Drosophila melanogaster: one gene and its partners. The protein of the gene in region 1 interacts with the protein of each later gene in a pairwise test. Each region holds a gene or a part of one and is shown in the gene's direction. Other genes may lie near its edges.

What was found. Proteins that work in one complex are often made in the same cells at the same time.
Region 2: the proteins of mex1 (region 1) and hoka interact in a two-hybrid assay, tested with the Drosophila melanogaster proteins (one large-scale study listed by BioGRID).
Region 3: the proteins of mex1 (region 1) and ZnT41F interact in a two-hybrid assay, tested with the Drosophila melanogaster proteins (one large-scale study listed by BioGRID).

Annotation. Positions count from the first base shown.
Region 1 is NT_037436.4:15,516,569-15,521,434, reverse strand, and holds mex1 (midgut expression 1), read left to right. Parts: upstream 1-1,842; 5' UTR 1,843-1,925; coding exon 1,926-1,978; intron 1,979-2,649; exon of another isoform or gene 2,650-3,074; coding exon of another isoform or gene 3,075-3,127; intron 3,128-3,406; coding exon 3,407-3,605; 3' UTR 3,606-4,011; downstream 4,012-4,866. Other genes in the region: yellow-k, read right to left, coding at 1-815; CG13454 (uncharacterized protein), read left to right, coding at 4,409-4,747. UniProt on the Drosophila melanogaster protein: Involved in morphogenesis and development.
Region 2 is NT_037436.4:4,896,797-4,901,588, forward strand, and holds hoka (hoka), read left to right. Parts: upstream 1-2,103; 5' UTR 2,104-2,200; coding exon 2,201-2,246; intron 2,247-3,480; coding exon 3,481-3,564; intron 3,565-3,618; coding exon 3,619-3,899; 3' UTR 3,900-4,073; downstream 4,074-4,792. Other genes in the region: CG13705 (uncharacterized protein), read left to right, coding at 120-122, 194-1,489.
Region 3 is NT_033778.4:5,779,640-5,785,010, reverse strand, and holds the start of ZnT41F (zinc transporter 41F), read left to right. Parts: upstream 1-2,152; 5' UTR 2,153-2,234; exon of another isoform or gene 2,235-2,712; intron 2,713-5,371.

The DNA of each region.
Region 1 (4,866 bases):
ATCATGCTGCGACTGCTGCCCAGAAGACTGCCCAAATGTGTGAGTTTAATGCTATTGTTAATTGGTTTGCTTGCTAATTCGCTTTTGCCTTCAATTTCCAGTCTGTCCACCGTACTGTATAGATCACCATCCTGGTCGGAGAGTATGAGTTCCCCTTGAATTCCGAAGATGAAATCCACTGGCTTGATGGGAAACGATTGATTCATATTCTCGTACTTATTGCTCTCCAAGGATAGGCGGTGCCACGTCTGCTCCAGGATGTCGTAGGCTAGAATTTCTGGTACCTTTCCAAGGATGAAGTAAATATGGCGCTCGTGCTCGCATCCCGGACTCTTGGGTCCCATTTGGACAGTCAGAAAGTGGGTGTCATTAGCACCTATATGGTGTCCACAATCGATTCTCAATAGCTCCGCGTTGTTACGCATCAGATCGAAGACAAACAAACGGGGTGAGCACGTGCTGCCGGGAAATCCGATGTCCATGACCCACAGTCGACTCAGTGCATCCACCTGGGACCAGTGTGCCTGTTGTACCAGAGAGCAATCATCATGATCCCCCATGGAATGAACATCGATGTGGGGAAAGACGACAGTGGGCATGGGAAAATAGGAAACCGGCCATTGCGCCTCGATCAAAGTGGGCGCATCGTTGCTTTCTACATTTACGCTGAGAAACACTCGCGAAAAGTGCATCGATAGATGACGGACTTTGTAGCTGGATTCGTTTAAACCAGATTCGGATAACAGCCAGGCGTCCGTGGCCAGAATTAGACCAACAATGAGAAATCCCAAGCCGAGGACACCATGTGTGACCATCTTTAAACGCGAATTCAGACTGAGCTTAGGGCTAGAGAACTCTGCTTACGTTGTAAGTGCCCGTTCAAGAAGTCCACCAAAGTGTCTACATCAGCAGTTGGGATCGGGTGTCGCCGAATATATCGGCGACCTGCATTAATGGGGACCAGCATTGGAGTGTTTCTCTATTCACTTGTGGTCCCAAAAAAAAAAAGCTTACCAATTTCAATCGGAGAATATCGAAATCATGACACAGTTTCCTCTTAAAATTACCCAAAATTGGATTGTTATATTTTTCAAAATAAATCAAAGTTAAAACCAACAAAATGGTTGTTTTGTACCACCATAATAACCTATAATAAATAAATCATAATAAGGCTATTTTTGTCGAACTTTAGCGATATTGATAAGGTTCCTGTGAACTGAACCTACCTTAAGTGCTTAGTTTTAACATAACCTTAATGTTAACGAGTATTTCTTCGCGTAAAAGTACAAAAAAACCCTATCATATCTTTACAGCCATTATAAAGATTGCTTATAGATGACTGATTTCACTTGGGAATTGCCAAAAAGCTAAAGTGAACCCCCGAGGAATCAATTAATGTTGTTTAGCTTTCAGTTTTTAGTACATTCGTATTTTTTTAAGTATTAAAATTATTTAATCACACGAATAAACATTAAGAAATATTTTATTCTGGAAACTTTCTTCGTTATAGAGCATTTATCGTTGTAAAAAAAATAATTTCATTAGTTTACATTACATTTTCGTTTATATGTTTAGATTTTTTCTAATTAAATGATATTGTATAATTTATTGCAAAAATTATAATACTCACTTCAAATAATCTGAAACAAATCCACCCACTCCGAAAAATGTGGTAAGCTTTATTTTCTAACACCTCTCTTCTGATTTTATTGATTATAACTGGAATCTTTATCGGTTTCTCTCTTTTTCCATCAGTAGGTTGAGAGCTTTTCATACTTTTCACGCCGAAATGGGAAAAATGGCACTGCGCGTAGAGTCAGTTATCCATTTGAGTTGGCCAAGATCAGATCGAAATACGCTAAAATCATTTTCGGGAGCACAATCGAATACTCATACAACACACACTTCAAACGAGGATTATCATCATGTGCAACGCCATTTGTGAATGCCTTAAATGTCCTGGCAAAGTTATTTGCTGGTAAGTTTCCATCAGATTGAATATCCTTTTAAATTAAGTATTAAATAAATAATTACACAAAAATGGATAGTCGACTTTAGGCTTTTTTTAACTATTATGGTTTTACCATAGAGATAAGGTTTGATGAAAAATCCCCCAACAGCGTTATTTTCGTGGTATTTCAAGTACTATTCCTGGTATTGGCAGCTTAATTGACAACTTTCCACTATCAGCTAATAGGTTTTTTTTTTATAGAGATTGCTAAATCCTCGAGGCATTACAATACTCTTCATATTGAGCAGAATTTCTAGAAAGCTCCTACCATAGTTAATGATCAATGATAACAGGTATATTACTTCCTGCTCAGTAATGCCTTAAATATAGAAAGTTTGTTGTTGGTAAAAACCGCTTCTATTGCCACAAAGTTGATTGTTGTCTTTAAACAATCTAGAACGGATGAGACATACATATCTTTAAACGAACAAAACAATTTGTCATTGTCACAAACATTCTGCGCCCTACTCTAGTTAAAAATGATTCATCTACCTTTGCGACCCTAATCAAATTCTTTGGTTATTTTTTTTTTGTTTTGATTTGGAACAAAATAGTCAATAAAATCAAATGTAGGGAATTATGTGCTGGAATCGACGCTTAATCGTTGTCATTGTGTTTATCGTCGTGCTAACAGTAGTTTTCTTTATAATATTTCATATATATGATAAGTATTACGATCAATCCCTCTTCACTCGAGATGTTTAAGTGGCAAATAGCTTTATTCTGTATTTTTATTCTGCTGGATGCACCAGTACGAAAATGATGGATAATACGATACAGATACCTCGGTCGAATGGAAACATTGTAAGCTCCGTTTTCCAATAACTCTCACCCATTTTTCTCACTGGCGTAGTGATAATTATAGTCGACTTGTTATCAGTCTATTTGTTATTTTTTCGGCCGATATGATTAAAGCTTTCAATACCTGTAGACCCCAAAATGCGGTCGATGACAGTTACCCGCTTCAGTTAATATTTTGTGTTGGTCAACCACGCATCGGGAATCGGAAATATACTGTACAGTATATCTATCTATAATAGAATAACCCAAAAAAGTCATCACCATGTGCAACGCTCTCTGTGAATGCCTCAAATGTCCCGGCAAAGTGGTTTGCTGGTAAGTTTCCATCGGTTTCTGGCTCACTAATCATCATATACAAATATATACTATATATATATAAATTATATGTGAGAGCTCTTGACCAGCTCTGGATGAAGCCAATTTGGGAAATTTAGAAATGGGTATCTTCAGTTACAAGCATCCTAAGTATTCGGGATTCAACCTGATTGAAATGAACTAATTGAACTGATCTGACAACAAGATCTGACATCCAGGATATCTCCATCTTGATCATGTGTAAAACTTTTCTAATCAGATCTTTCCATATCCTTGCAGCTGCTGTTCCTGCGCCTGCAAGATGCTCCTGAGCATCGTGTTTTCTGCGCTCCTGATGGTCGTGGTGATCGGCTTGATTGTCTACTTCACGGTCTTCTATCACAAGGATAAGAACACGGATGAGGTGCAGAAGCAGGTCGCCCAACTGACGCCCATTGTGAAGCGCAGCATACGCGACTACTTCAACAAGGAGTACTGATCTGAGGACATGAATTTATACTATAGGCCATATTAATAATAACTCCGTCGAAATCGAAATTGAAACGAACTAAGAACCAAAGCCGTTCAGTGCATGACTTAATCTAATCGCGTCGGATGCTCGTTATGGGATTTTTTCTTATCTATAGATAGTTTGGGACTCAATTGAATGGGCAATTTGTGCGTTCTTTAGAAAGGTAGATAATGTTGGAGCGGCAAAAAATGTGACTCACTGTATACCTTACAATACATTTTGAACTCGAAACCCAGTAAAGCATTCACAATATATATTTAATGTATAATATGTATGAATGTAAGGCAGATTAAAAAAGTTATATTGTACTGGATGACACACTATAAACAAGACAATAAAACTAAAATATCTATAGAAAATTGAAAGTGGAAATAAAAGTAAGTGTATCATTAATTAATAGCATCTCTACATACTGGCTTTTAAAATTTGTAAATCTAAAATAAGCTAATATTTTAAGCTTGGGGGAAAGAAATTAGAAAACTTCGTTATTGAAGTGTGAGATATTCACTAATAAATATTTGAGCTAGGGAAGTTCAAATATTTTTTTAAGATGAGGGTTTACCAGCAGGGAAACCCCTCATTACCACAGTCCTTCCAGCTGTTTTCCTAGTTTTATGTACACCATTGTTTGGGATCAGGTAGCCTAGAACACCGTCGAGGGTTGAAAAGTGTCCAAGATCTGGTGGTCCGTTCAAATGCATTTCAAACTCGTCCCCTTGACTTGCTTCAATCAACTTTGGGCTCAGTTGTTCGCCAGCATCAGGTTCACAATGTCCTCCGATTCCACGCTGTACTTCAGTGCCGTCGAGGATATGTTCAAGGAAGTGTTAACAATAGGGGACGAGAAGAGGGATCCTGGAAACGAGGATTTCTCCGAAACACCTAAACGTTGCGTACGATTGCGCCAGCAAAAGTTGTTCGCGAACGATACCGCGAGTTTTGTGATAGGTCGCCGTTCGCCGAGGATTGAATCCAAAATCGATCTCAACAGAGATGTATCTCCTGGAAGGCGAAAGGAGCTGCGCGGCGAGGAAATCCTTCGGATGCGCAAGGATCGGGCGGAAAAGGAGCGTCTGAGGCCCCAAAGGCGTCTTACCATGCGGATTTAGTGCCACACCTATCGATATGATAGCTATCCACCGAGTTCATTGTGTTCCCCAATCGAAGTGCTTCCCTGTTGTATGCTCTACTTTAGGATTTATTTTTAAGCTCACCTAAGTATGCTAAG
Region 2 (4,792 bases), about 11 Mb from region 1:
ATCGGTCAGCCGAGAACTTTTCGCGCAGTTTGTGTATAAATAGTGTCGTTGGGTCTGGTTTGAAAACAGAATCAACTTTGGATTAATCTAGCAGACATCGTCTTGGATCTTCTGGAAAAATGGTTAGTTCTCCAGCAGTCATCCTGCGACCAGGACTAACCCATAACCCTCTCCTTCGCTTATTGCCTTGCAGAAATTCTTTGTCATTGCCTTTGCTGTGATCGCAGCTGCCTCGGCGGCCTCCATTGCCACGGATTACCTGCCGCCAGTGGACAACAACCTGGAATCTGCCTCCGAACTCGTGGAGGTGCCCGCCGAGCAGGGAGTTCTCTCCGACGATGGATACCGCTACAAGACCGTGCGCCGCCTGAAGTTGCGCCACCGTCGTGATGTGAACGAGCTCCCCTCCGGTGAATACCTGCCCCCTGTTGAGGAATCCGCCTCCGAAGCCGTTGCCGTCGAGACTCCTCTGGCTGATGATGGCTACCGTTACAAGACCGTCCGCCGTGTGATCCGTCGTCGTCGTGATGTCTCCGAACTCTCCCCTGAGTACCTGCCCCCTGTTGAGGAGTCCGCCTCCGAGGCTGTTGCTGTCGAGACTCCCCTGGCTGATGATGGCTACCGCTACAAGACTGTCCGCCGTGTGATCCGTCGTCGTCGTGATGTCTCCGAACTCTCCCCTGAGTACCTGCCCCCTGTTGAGGAGTCCGCCTCCGAGGCTGTTGCCGTCGAGACTCCCCTGGCTGATGATGGCTACCGCTACAAGACTGTCCGCCGTGTGATCCGTCGTCGTCGTGATGTTTCCGAGCTGTCCCCTGAATACCTGCCCCCTGTTGAGGAGTCCGCCTCTGAGGCTGTTGCTGTGGACACCCCTCTTGCTGATGATGGTTACCGTTACAAGACCGTCCGCCGTGTGATCCGTCGTCGTCGTGATGTCAATGAGCTTCCTTCCGGCGAGTACCTGCCCCCCGTTGAGGAGTCTGCCTCCGAGGCTGTTGCTGTTGAGACCCCTCTGGCTGCTGATGGATACCGCTACAAGACTGTCCGTCGTGTGATCCGTCGCCGTCGTGATGTAAACGAGCTGTCCGCCGAATACCTGCCCCCTGTTGAGGAATCCGCCTCCGAAGCCGTTGCCGTCGAGACTCCTCTGGCTGATGATGGATACCGCTACAAGACCGTGCGTCGTGTGATCCGTCGTCGTCGTGATGTCTCCGAGCTGTCCCCTGAATACCTGCCCCCTGTTGAGGAGTCCGCCTCCGAGGCTGTTGCTGTGGAGACTCCCCTGGCTGATGATGGATACCGCTACAAGACCGTGCGTCGTGTGATCCGTCGCCGCCGTGATGTCTCTGAGCTGCCTTCCGGCGAGTACCTGCCCCCCGTGGAGGAGACCGCCTCTGCCATCATTGATGTGCCCGCCGAGCAGACCGTCCTGGCCAGCGATGGCTACCGCTACAAGACCGTCCGTCGTCTGAAGCTCCGTCGCCACTAAGCCGCCGATTGCGCCAACTCCCACCGCAGCATTTGAGATTTTCGAGGATGTTTTTCCAGAAGAAGTCCTGACTTTGACAGTCTCAGATTGAAACTAACAATAAGTCGAGCGTATTAGTCAATTTGAATCCACTATGAACAACCCGAGTACAAACCCGAACTTACAATAATAAACATTTTTAAAACAAATATCCTACAACTACTATATCTTTTTGCAGAATATTTTTAAATATTCGAACTATCTTTTAAACAATATGCCTAGGATTGGGATAAAGCTTATAAAGTCGAAGGAGTTGGTGAAAAGATTTTATAAAAATATTTTTTAAAATGGGCAATAAATAAAGAAGACTCTTATTGTCCTTCGATAGTACAGATATAAAATATTGTGTAAGGACTTGAACTCAACGAATTTTGCATATTGAACATGTTAGGCTTAGAAATATAGGAGACATTTTAGATTGAACATAAATGAAACTATTTTTTTCAGTGCTGATGACCTCAGAAGTAATATATAGCGGGAGAAAAGAGAGCCTTCTAATCTTATCAATGAAAGATAAGGTGCTTTGAGATAAGATACTAGCACCTGCCGACGAATGCAATCACGCACAGGTTTTTAGTTCCACTTTGGAGTCGACGACGTGCGCGTTACAAACTTGGCTAACAGCTAAAAGCGAACATAAGTTTTTCGAAAGAACCGACGAAAACGACGGAAATGAAGTTGGCTAAGAAGTGCTCCACCTACTTGGTGATATGCCTGGGTAAAGTTCTGCATGCTCGTTCGAATCTGCCGAGTTTTGAGTGCCAACTAGAGATACGCAGCACACCGGCGAGATACTTTTTGGTGCATGTGTGTGGGCGGAGTATTGTGCATGTGTGAGACTTTAACGCATTATGATGCACTGATGCATCCGTATGATTCCATAGGTGTGGGGTTTTAATAACCCAACTTCAGCAATTGGAGACTCTAACGATGAGTAACTGGGCCAAGTGTGCGTCACACAATCAGGCACAAGAAAACTCTACAAAAATGTGTGCTTATCAGTGCGATTCAGATAAGCACTGTGTTTACTCATTGTTGCCCCATCACTTGGTGTGCTTAACTTTAGGGCGTGGTGAATCAGTGAGTTCAGAGGGAAATCTTTTTGGATTGAAAGGTATCCCAAATAAAACATATAATTTAGCTGGCAGTGAGTAAATGCGAAATCATTTCCTTTGATTTCATGCAATTTTTATTAGGCCAAAAGTCCAATGCCCTAAAACCGGAAGTGGCATAATTATTGCGCATATAAATTATGAAATATGTTAGACAAAAAAGTGAATGAAAACAATTAATATTGGTTAGCGGTTGGCCAACGAAAATCGGTCGCACTCTTAGCCACATACATTTGGCGGATGGGTTTTGTCAAATGCCTGTCTCCATGAATCACCGACTAATCGAATCGAGGAAAAATCTATACACTTTCCATATCGACAAACAAATCCATTTAATATTTCATACGCAAAATATGCCGAATGAGCTGAACGAACACACACATAAAATATTATTAATTAAAAATACATTTTGATAATTTTACGTGAAATCGAATCTGACATCCGCAATGGAACAATGGGGAAGGAATATGCCAGCTCACATTTATCATCGAAGAAGTTGGCGCGCGCGCGCTATTTTGGCTCAATCAGAATCAGCGTTTTTTGTTGATTTTGGCCCGGCTCTGTTGTTAAACATTTTCTCAACGATTAATTGTTAATATCTTAACAAGTCTTCGCGCATTTGAAGATCTATATGATGAATGGTCTTGCTGTTATTTCAATGAGTTCCGTTTGGCTTGGGTTTGATGGATGCTTCAAAGCCAATGCCGCAATCTTACCAGGCCACCTTCGACCACACGCCGCGTGATCATTGAAAAAATGTGTATGATGTGTGTTTTGCGCCTCGGACGAATCACTATGTCTAACAAATATTAAATTTGTATATTCTTTTCTATTCTGTAGTACTGTTGGCCTGCTGCCTGCAAGAATCGGAGGCCACGCGACGTGTGAACCGCGGACGACGCACCCTTACCCGCAGATACTTCAGTAAGTGATGCCGTATACGTGATCGATATTGCTCAACATTGTTATTTCTTGCAGCTGGCCTTGCTATTCCCGGATGGGCTCTCATCGTTTGTGTAGCGGTAGGTGAGCTGCTGATTGGTGGAGCCCTCTACTTCATCCTCAAGAAGGTGATCCTGGACAAGGAACCAGATCAGACGGCGGCCTCCTACACGCCCGCCCAGACTCATGCGACGGCCACACCTTATACTCCCGCCCAGACTCACGATCCGGCCACGGCCACAACCTATACTCCTGCCCAGACTCATGAGACGGCCAATGTGACTCCCACTCCAACGCATGCCACCGCTATTGTCTGAGGAGATGTGTACAGATCCAAGTGACCACTTTTGGTTCATAACCCTTTCCAAATCAGTTCAAATTCCACCATTAACTAGCTTTATTGTCATTTAATCGACACACAAATAGAACCTGTGCCCTTTGTCTACCTTCATTTTCGAATAAAATTATTTGCCACTTATCTGGCGCCAAACTAGCTTCACATTTGTACGGTTAAACGGTTTTTAAGACGATACACGCTGGCTTTTAACATTTTATTGCACCGGCTAAGCGGCCCAATATCCGCCCAAGACCGATCCAGTTTGTCTACTCATTGTCTGCACCACACGCAACGCTAATTTATATCTAATTAAATCAAACTGGTTTTGAGTTTTGGATTTTTCATAGCCCATGCTGGGGATGAAGATTAATTAGATGAATAGATTTGTAAGCAAATTAATGCCTACTTTTGGGGCTGCGGAAATACTAGCTATTTTCAAGCTACACCCAATATAAAATATCAAAGGGTGTACGGATTATGAGCGGAGTCACCCGGTGCTTCAGCTGTCTTAACAGCGGATTAACATTTTATATATCGATGCTAATTGAACTGAACTGTATTCTTTCTTTCTCCATTGTAATTTTGCGGTCATAGCGATCAGACGTGATTTTTGTATATGAAGAAATAAATGAAGTTAAATAGTGTATATATGATTCTTATTTGCGAACCCCATTACAATGATGTCAAAGCAGTGAGGCATCACAACTATTCATTGGTGGCCCATGAGGGGAACCTTGCTCATAAGAATCATAATTAATAATTGCTAAAAGCTGTTTGGCAATTTTATCTTCGTGGTCGGCTTCATCCAGATAAATCACCGTGCCTACGTTTTCTATCGCGCTCGCTCTCATCACGACAGAGCAGTATACGCAA
Region 3 (5,371 bases), on another chromosome or scaffold:
CCGGCTGATCACTGACTGATCACTTTTCACTTTTTTTGCGTGGCGTTGTTGTTGCTCCAAGCAAAAGATTTTCCAGATTAAGTTTCCGCCTGGGAAAAAACACACAAAAAAAATGTAGACCGCATACCGTTTTGCGGCGAGGAAAGCTCGCTAGATTATTATATCATTAACGCGCGCAGGCTATAATTTTCTAAAAAACAGTTGAATGAAAAAAATGTTCACGAATTGACTTTACGACGGTTCGATTAGAAAAGAAATAGAACGGAAACTCAAGCCTGGGTCTAGGCCATCAGAAGAAATCATGATCATCTGGAAATCACTCCATTTGTGATAACCAAGCTATCCAAAACTTTCCTAGTTCAGCTGATAAAGATTTGCATCTCGTCCAGTATATTTCCTATGACTAATACTGCATTTAATATGACCCTTGATTACACGCCCAAAGCTTGGCTCAAGCTTTCAGGGTGTTCTAACATAATAGCTTCAGGGGTCGCTACAAACTCCACCTATTAACTTTAATTAACCCTAATTAACAACTCTAATTCCTCTTCCAATTTGCACACCAATGTTTTCTCTAAGCATAGCTATTCTGTTTGAAATAACTTAGCTAAATGATCGTCGAAAGTGCATTTGCTTAATACATATACATACATTCATACACATACATTCTTTGTCAAATCAAAACACAACCAAAGAAAATTCGATTATTCATCCGTTCTTTATGACAAGCACCACTGCATACAACTGTTTTATAACAATCTCCTTTAATTGGTCCCGTTGTAATAAGAAATACCACATTCCGGGAAGCAGATTTTGCTTAAGTGCTTTTGCATCTTGATAAAAAGGATGGGGCGGGGATGAGAAAAAAGAAAGTAAGAAAACGAAATGGATTATCGGATTTCCTGCGATTTTTATTATAGGTAATATAATAATTTCATGAGCAGAAAGAAATCTTTAAAGGTATAATAATATATTTTACTTTAAGTTTAATCGTAAACTGAAAAGAACCTGACAACAAGACGATGGAAATTTCTCTCTTCAAAAATAAGTACGGATATAGTGATTAAAACACATTGAAAAAGTGATGAATTGAGCGGTGTTTAAGCGCCATTGATATCAACTAAATTGTAGAGTCGAATATGAATATGAATATATGATCCAGAAAATCCGTTTGAAAAATTTATATCTTACTTCCACTTTCTTGTTTTTAAGGATAAACGCCTTTCATATTACTATGTACATATTTTAATTTTAACAGTATTTGATAATACTGCTTTACTGTGGATGAACTTGATAAGGATCGAACCGCTGATAAGTCTAGTCTCAACTGTGTCGATTTATAGTTCCCCGATATCGAAACTCGTCATAAAGTGTAAATGTATTTTTTATAGCGCCAGAAACGTTATCTTGAACCTTATTTTTAAAGATTACCTTTTAGTCTTCGAGTTGTGTTTATAATCACGTTCGCGAGCACAAAAGTGTAGATAACGTCGACTTAATTTTCCGGTTACACTAAAGAAACCAATTGAAATGATCTGATATGTACCTTACATATACATAATCAGTGTCTAGCGTCTTCGGATCGGACGTTAAGGACGTTAAGAACTTCCTTTTTGCTTTTGGCTTTCAGATGCCTAATGATTTTTTTTTTTAAATTAAGAAATAGAATATAAACGAAAAGAGAATGCTATAGTCGAGTTCCCCGACTATCTCAGCTAGTGTGAATGCGAACCCGAAATTGCACGATTTATTTTTTTTATTGGGATATCGATAGATGTTGGGGAATAAAATGAGAAAAAACTTAAAATTTGACCGGTTCGGCAGCTTCAGGACGTTAGAGTGGGCGTATCAAAAATTTTTTTGGAAAATGGATACATGGGTCAACCTTCTATCATTTATAGTGCCAGAGATCTCGACGATCCTACTTATGGCACATTCTTTTCTGACTCCACTTAGCTGAGTGATGGGTATATGATATTTCTGATTGTAGAGGAACTAGACTCTTCTCTCTTATTTTGATAAGCGAACAACAGACGCAATTCCCAAGTCCTTTGAGAACCACTCAAGCGTCGCCACTCAAGAGAAAAATGCCCCCACTATCACTGTCTCGCTCTACCCAGAAACCAACTGAGAAGGCGACGCCGTCACCGCTGTTAGTTGAACTTCACGCGTCGCCGGGTGTGCCGGGAAGTAAGCAGTCGCTGACGATCGGAAATCTAAAACAATTACAGCGAGTAGGGCCGTGTACGATAAAAAGAGAACACCAGCTGATAGTGCACGACAGCGGAACATTATTGTAGTCTCTCAACTGAGTATTTCGTACATTCACATATTTTGTTTACATAGTCCATGCAATGCGCATATGGCTGGGAACTGGAAGATTTACAAAATACGATTGGATACGAACAAGTCATAATAATGATTTAAATTTTAATGTTCTGAAGAGTTTAAAATGAATATGTTTTTAATATCAGAATTTTACGCAATTAAGCCTAAATGAGACTAACGCCAATGGTTCAGTGTGATACGTGAGAGTGAATACAACGAATGGGCGCTCCGTTGTGATCTCTCTTTCCAACGGAACGTACATATGTACATTCATATGTATGTGCATAGTTATGTGCAGCATCAGCAGCTGAGTAGAAACATATGAGAGAAAGAGAGCCGCGGTCGAAATTATTACTCATTGCCAAAGTCAAACCTGCTGATAAGGTCAGTGCACGCTCAGCGCCGGCATTGTTTTCTTTACTTTGCTTTGACTTGCGGTTAAACTCTCTGGTTGGTGGAGGATCTAATTCTTATTGGTAGTTTTCTCGCAAAACGCTACGTCCCATAGCTACATATTTACAAATCAAATAGATTACAAACCACATCAATTTTAATACACGTATGCATGCTATTAGAAATTATATTATGTTATATATACATGTATATATGTATATAATATAATGGGTTAAATATGCCAAAAAAAAAGGTGCTCTAGAACACCTAGCCAAGAAAATGAAATACGAGCCCCAACTACTATTATTGTTTTGTATTGTGTTTCGAACAGCATGTGTTTTTTGCGGTGTGCAATGTTCAACACACGATATGTATACTCATTACTACTACAGATAACGTATGCAAAAGTATTTAGTCTGAAAGAGAATTTTATTCTCTTCATGTTGATAAAAAATGTTATATTTTCAACAACAACAACAGAGATAAGAAAAAAAGGCCACTATTAATTCGAACGCTGCAAAGTATAACAGACTAATTAACATAAGAATTGTGTAACGTCGCGTCCTGGGCTGTATTACACATTAAATACGTTTTGGCATTGATTTAAAAAAATTTTGGCCATGTTCTCGAGAAATCGATACCCACATCTCTTTGAGGTCACAAATGTTCCTCTGTGGTTCATTCGAAGCTTTCTTTTCATTAGCCACCAAATATTGTTTATGGGGCCTAGATCTGGACTATCTAGCCAATCTAAAACCTCCACTTGCTTATATTGTAGTCAATTTTCCTACTGAATCCTTTCCCGAGCCCATTGCAAACTCGTTTTTTTTTTTGCGAAGCGTAAGCAAGGGTTTTTCCGTGGCCTACAAGTAGAGTAAAAGGGTATACTAGATTCTTTGAAAAAGTATATATATTCTTGATATGGATCAATAGCCGAGTCGATCTGACCCTGCCCGTCTGTCCGTCCGTCCGTATGAACGTCGAGATCTTAGGAACTATAGAAGTTAAAGAGTTGAGATTAGGGATACAGTTTTCAGAGAGATAGTTTTTACTATCTACTAGTTACTATTATTATTATTACTATTATTACTATTATTACTACTATTTACTATAGTACTAGTTTTACAATACCAGTATTTCGACACTGTTTTAATTTGATATTCGAAACCATAATAACAGTCGCAAAATGTTTGGATTGTTAACAATTTTAGATTCTTTGCCTTAGCCGTTTGTTGGCTTTACATTTTTTGGGAAGACAAATGGTAGAATATACAAAATGAAAATACAAAATGTGATCGTGTCAGCTTAAGCGATAATGGTAAGGTTTTGAATCAAACTTACATACATAGCGATTTGATTACCCTGTAGCTTTTATAGTTCCCGATATCTCTCGATATTCATCTCTTGCCCTCCAACTAGACAGGAAAAGGGTATCTTATTGTCTATCAAAGATAATAACAAGCTCTTCTGGCGATTTGATTGGCAACAATATGCTTTCGGTCAAAACCTGCCGAGAAAACCCAACGCTGATAACCCAACGGCACACAAGCTAGTAGGACTACTTTTGCTGATAAGCATACATGAATCAAATGAAAAAGGTTTAAATTGCCAGTAGAGTTCCACCAACGTGCGATCCGTTGTTGATAAATGCATATCTACATTACTTAAGTTGTGGAGTGTAATAAATTTAATTGGTTAGTCCTTAAATTCTAACAAGAGAGAATGCTGTATTCGAGTTCCCCGACCATCCGATACCCTTTACTCAGCTAGTGGGATTGCGAATGCGAAATTATTCATAAATGAATAAAATAAAATGAGAATGAAATGAAAAAAATTAAAAATTGACAAGATAAACAATAAAACGAAGAAAAATCGACAAACTTGCGTCTGTATGCTTGATTTCAGCCGTCTAGCTTTTATAGTTTCTGAAATCAAGACGTTCATAGTATGACGTTCATACGGATAGACGGCCATGGCCAGATCCTATTCAAGAATATATATACTTTATGTGGTTGGAAACGCTTCCTTCTGCCTGTTCCATATTTTTCCACGTATCTAGTATACCCTTTTACATTACTAGTAACGGGTATAATAAACAACATTTTGTTTAGCTATCATTATACGTACATTGTATAGAATAATCAATTTACCTTATAAGAGTTCCTTAAGAGTTAACTTAAAATGAAAACGTTTCTAATCTGCAATAAACTACCACTGTATTATTTAAAATTTTTGTAAAATCCACGTTTAGGCAATCCACGTTTAAGCAGGGTTTAACATATGGGACCATATAATCTTCTATGTAATTTCTTGCACGCTTAGCTTGAAGTTTACATAAAGGGGCTTACATAAATAGGATGCTGGAAGTGATCATGAATTCCTCTCCCTGAAAATTATTTTTTAAATGCTGCCCTTGTTACACATTTCCCTAGACATAAGGAAAACAAGAGAGAATGCTATAGTCGAGTTCCCCGACTATCAGATACCCGTTATCATTTTTTTTATTTACGTTATCAATATTAAAATGTTTATAACTAATTTCCAAAAGAGATACCATTGTTGGCCTCGGGAGTTTTGACCGACTTGCTCTTAGTTGCCATAATGTTTTCGATTTCGTCTGGCTTTCATATTTCTACTTTACCTACAATAA